Kluyveromyces lactis: one gene and its partner. The protein of the gene in region 1 purifies or fractionates together with the protein of each later gene. This does not show direct contact. Links are inferred from orthologs where the notes say so. Each region holds a gene or a part of one and is shown on either strand. Other genes may lie near its edges.

Region 1 (1,954 bases):
AAGATCCCTATGAATGATATAAATCAGAATGTGCCGCGTGTAAACCGTTAGTTTGACTTATTCGTTATTGAGTTCTTGAGCCCTTGCCAGATTCCACTCTGAGGTCCCTGAAAACTATTTCTTTTGAGAAAATGGTACCTGTTCCTTATTTCAAATTGCAGATAAACCCTTGTCCTTATTCAACTAAACAAATAATCGTTTCGCAAAAAAAAAGAGGAAAAATAGAGGAAAAAAAACAATCGTATCCTGTGTAATTGTTGTGCCTCCCACTAAGTATCAATTTCCCAAGATGTCTTTTCAAAACTGTAATAATAATGGACCACAGCACGAATAACACTTTGCTCTGTCGTCTTATGTAACTCGCCTTGTTTCTACACGTTGTTGCAGTCCCTAATATTCTTCTGTCTCTTTTATTTTTTTTTTTATTTTTGGTAGTTTTCGGTTTCAGAAGTTCCCATACAAAACATACCAACATCACGTGCACAATATGTTGTCCTATAAGGTCAATACTAATAATATAGTGTTTTGAGGGTCGCTACATATGCATATTTACAAGAAACGGTTAATGGTATATACAACATGTTCGTGTTGACATATCACTTCTTCTGTTCTATGAGTTCGTTATCCTTAGTTCGAACCTCCCCGCTCAAAGGTTGCATCTGTTCGTATTTCTTTCTTAATTCGAGTTGATACTCATGTTCGTTCTTATTTACCATTCTTTGACGTTCCTTTTCAGGGTCTACGCCATTCTGTCTGGCTAGTTTTTTCTCTGCTACTCTTTGCGCATCTTTGATTGGTCCCTGATGTAAAGTCTGTCTTTCAAGTTCTTGTACGTGATGAACACCTACGACTATCGTCGCTGTGAACAAAGTAGTTAATCCAAGAGTGATCTTACTAGCACGAGACATGATGTCTGATATATGATATGCGATTATTTCCTCCTTTGTTTTCTTTCTTTCCTCGTTAATTTGAAAGGCTGAGAATAGCTAGCTCCGTTTGACTACGGTCGCCGGAATCATTATTACTGCAATATTGATCTATATCTCATCATACTAAATTTCAGATTATCGAATGTCTGACCGTTTTGCCATGGTGGGAATTAAAAAGGGAAAAGTTACCCGGATATGCGGACATAAATTCATCAGTATCATTATCTGAAATTGAGTCCCACACAGTTTATTTATCCCGTTTACTACCAATCACCAGTAAAGGGTGACCATTGTGAGTAAAAGCAGCATATTTTATATTTATATTTATATTAAACTAGTTCGAGTGATTCTTGTTTCTGTATAACTTTCATCAGATAACCTCTAATAATTGATTACATTCTACACCTAGATTATGTTTAGACAAGCCCTCAAGTCAACTGTAAGAAGAATGAACACATTGACTCCAGTTAAGACTCAATTGGCTCCCCCACCAGCCGCCTCTTACTCCCAGGCTATCAAGGTCAACAACTTGATCTTTGTTTCCGGTCAAATTCCATATACCGCAGAAAACAAGCCTGTAGAAGGTTCTATCGCTGATAAGGCTGAACAAGTTATCCAAAACGTTAAGAATATCTTAGTCGAAGCCAACTCTGATTTGGACAAGATTGTTAAGGTTAACATCTTCCTAGCCGACATCAATTCCTTTGCAGAATTCAATTCCGTTTACGCTAAGTACTTTAACGTGCACAAGCCTGCCAGATCTTGTGTCGCTGCCAAGGCCTTGCCATTGAACGTCGACTTGGAAATGGAAGTCATTGCTGTTGAAAAGGATTAATTGCAGTAATACGTTTGTTTATCTGAAGTATATTATCCTTTACTGTCACACATAGAAATGCTTTGACTTATATATAGACTATTCTGTATATAAATATATACTGAATTTTAACATACATGTCCCCAACGCAAGCATCCTTATCTTCATCTTCTGCACCGCACTTAAGAAATAGCTTTCACTTTTTCTTTCA
Region 2 (3,166 bases), on another chromosome or scaffold:
GATAAAATCATCGAAGAGCTAGTCGCAAATATCAAGGGTATCGGACCGTGGTCAGCGAAGATGTTTTTAGTTACAGGTTTACATCGCTTAAATGTATTTGCAGCTGAAGATTTGGGAATCGCAAGGGGATGTTCAAGGTACTTGGAACAACGACCAGAGATCTTAAAGAAGCTTCACAGCAAGCGGACTCTTATCAAGAAATCAAAAATAAAGCACAAGAGTTTCAAGTGGAAAATCCACGATGAAGACGTGGTTGAGCTCTGTGGTGATTTATTTAGCCCCCATAGAACGTTATTTATGTTCGTTCTTTGGAGAATGTCGGATACTAACATGGAAGTTGTCATCAATAATGAGAAAAGGTTTATGTCGAAGTAATAATTAGAGGCATTGTAATTGCTGTGTATAAACAGTACACTTTAAAGTAAGGTAGGAGTTCACTGGTAGCAACTTTTGAGTATATATATTTACAAGATAACATTTAATGTGCTGCCCAGTGTTTATAATAAATAGGAAGTAAAGGGGACAAACAAGAAAATAATTGAAAAAAAAGGATCCATTCGTAGTTCCCAAGATCACTTCGCAAGTTTGGAAGCCTCAGTTAAGATTTTAGAAGAGGCCTTTTGCTGTTGTGTATAGAGTCCACCGGTGAGGATTCTAATTGCGGCTCTTGGTTTTCTCAATTGAGAAGCAAACAACAATGAACCTGTCAATAATGCCAAGGCACCAGCTTGGTGAGCAGAAGCTAGAGGGATTGGAACCAAATATAACAAGGTAAAAATACCTAGAGTGACTTGTAAAGTGGCAAGACCCATCATACCATGAGCAGTACGTAGAACTTGTTTAGGAATGATAGCCTTGTTTCTGTTACAGTACATGTGGAATGCAAACACAGCGAAGAAAGTGGTTGTAGCCAAAATCCTATGATTCAGTTGAACCGTAGTTGGGTTTTCCAACATATTTCTCCAAAACATATCACTCTTGTCTTCTTTTCTAGCAAAGTTTTCGTCGATTAATTCACGTTTACTTGGTACCCAATCATCACCCATGTGAGGGAAAGTATTGTAGATTAGACCAGCATCCAGACCAGCAACCAAACCCCCAGACATCGCAGTAACAAAGGTCAAAGCTAGTAGACCAAGTGCAGATCTTCTCAATGGAGCTAGTGCTGGGTTATCTAGTTTTGAGAATAAAACAAGAGCTTCGGATGGGTTTTTAACCCATTTGGCCTCTCTCAAGATCTCAAACCCGGTCCAGAGCATACCCATATATAACATGAAAGCGGTACCCAAATGTGTAGTCAATCTGTACTGTGAGACAGTCGGTTTGGACTTTCTTTCCTTCAATTGTGTTTCATCCAAACCAGACTTGACCATCCACCAACCGATAAAACCTTGTAAACCTAGTAGTGCTGATAAACCAAACAATCTTTTATTAACATGAGGTGATGTCTTCCTAGCGACAGCAAAGTAGACAGCAGGCAGAATGAATACAGCACCGATAGCACGGCCCCATAGTCTATGAATCCATTCCATAAAGAAAATGAACTTGAATTCATCCAAGGTAATATGAGAGTTCAACTGTTTAAATTCTGGAGAACTTTTATACTTGGTGAATTCATTTTCCCATTCCTGCTGGTTCAAGGGTGGTAAAGTACCAGCGACAGGTCTCCATTCTGTAATAGATAACCCAGATTCAGTAAGTCTGGTTAACCCCCCGAGAACGACAATACCAAACACAAGAATTGAAGTACCAACTAACCAGTACCCTACCACTTTTGATGAATTTAGCAAGGGTTTTGACTTAGCTTGTTTAGCCGTGGATGCCGTAGCTGTTGTTATACCATTACCAGTAGTTTGCGATACCTGTACAGCTTCCCTGACAATAGATCTGGTATGGAAATACGCCATTGAAACTGTTGGCAAAGCTCTCTTAAGAGCAACAGTGGGAATCACATTCTTTGTCTTTACCAAATTTGATATTGAACGGGTCATTAAACCACGGGAACTTATGCGAATACCGCTGAGGCCTCTGCCTCCAAGAACCAAAGTTCTGAACATAGTGATAACTAGGTTGTCAGCTTCAAAAGATCGAATCTGGCCTCTGTGGTTCAATACTTACTTCTGTTAATGTTACTAGTGAAAGGCTTCATCGTTCCATTTTTTTTTTTTTTTATATTGAGCCTGATCATTCCATAACGTGAAGGGAACTATATAAAAGCGTCAGCAGAAAGAAGCCCGATAAAACGTACTATTGAATAACGAGTTGACATGTCGTTATATTTGGCCAGTTTGTCGATGTTGTTAATATCTATAAATTCTCTATACTTATTTGAAGGCCGCATGGGGAATTCGTGTACGTTTTGTCTGTATATCCAAATAATCGTTGTTTAAGTAGAATGGTAGTACCTGGGGTTCATTCGGCGGTGGATTCGTATCAAATTCGTCTGTGTTTAGTTTACAGTAGTGTATATATTTACATGGGACTAAATAAGATAAATGACATTGGGTTTGATTTATTTAGTTTCCTTGTTGCGTTTTTCATCAATCTTCTTGAAGTCTTCTGACCAAACGGTGTTACCCTTGTTAGTGTCTACGTCTCCGAATAGTCTTTGGAAAACATCTTCGTACCAGTCTGCGGCCAAAGGTTCCAATCCTTCCTTCACATTCTCTGGAAGCTCAGCCCAGTCTGACAAATTGTCTTTGGGGAAAATGATAGTCTTGGCACCAGATCTCTTGGCTGCTACGGCCTTTTCTCTTAACCCACCGATCCTCAAAACTTTACCAGTCAAAGTCAATTCACCGGTCATAGCCACTGTTGGGTCAAGACCCTTATTCAAAGCCAGTGATAAGAATGAAGAGGCCATTGTCACACCTGCAGATGGACCATCCTTTGGTGTAGCACCTTCAGGGCAATGCAAATGGATCTTTGCAACTTCAAAGAATCTATTTTCTGGGAACTTCTTGGCCAAGTACATCTTTGAGAAAGAGTATGCTAGTCTAGAGGATTCCTTCATTACATCTCCAAGTTGGCCGGTACGTTCTAAAGTAGGTTGAGTTGAATGTGTCAAAGGCTGTTCTAAAACACTCTCTACGTACATTGCACATCCACCCATGCTAGTCCATGCAAGACCCATCACAACACCAGGAGGAGTAGATTCGTATAATCT

Evidence for each region. Proteins that work in one complex are often made in the same cells at the same time.
Region 2: the proteins of PET117 (region 1) and COX15 purify together in Saccharomyces cerevisiae (affinity purification with western blotting; 3 studies listed by BioGRID, with this or other methods). This does not show direct contact. The link is inferred for Kluyveromyces lactis from reciprocal best matches to the Saccharomyces cerevisiae genes PET117 and COX15.

The regions. Positions count from the first base shown.
Region 1 is NC_006039.1:730,288-732,241, forward strand, and holds PET117 (Pet117p), read right to left. Parts: upstream 909-1,954; coding exon 597-908; downstream 1-596. Other genes in the region: putative isoleucine biosynthesis protein HMF1, read left to right, coding at 1,342-1,764. UniProt on the Saccharomyces cerevisiae protein: Involved in the assembly of cytochrome c oxidase.
Region 2 is NC_006041.1:913,039-916,204, forward strand, and holds COX15 (Cox15p), read right to left. Parts: upstream 2,058-3,166; coding exon 573-2,057; downstream 1-572. Other genes in the region: MAG1 (DNA-3-methyladenine glycosylase II), read left to right, coding at 1-375; ATP-dependent Lon protease PIM1, read right to left, coding at 2,513-3,166. UniProt on the Saccharomyces cerevisiae protein: Catalyzes the second reaction in the biosynthesis of heme A, a prosthetic group of mitochondrial cytochrome c oxidase (CcO).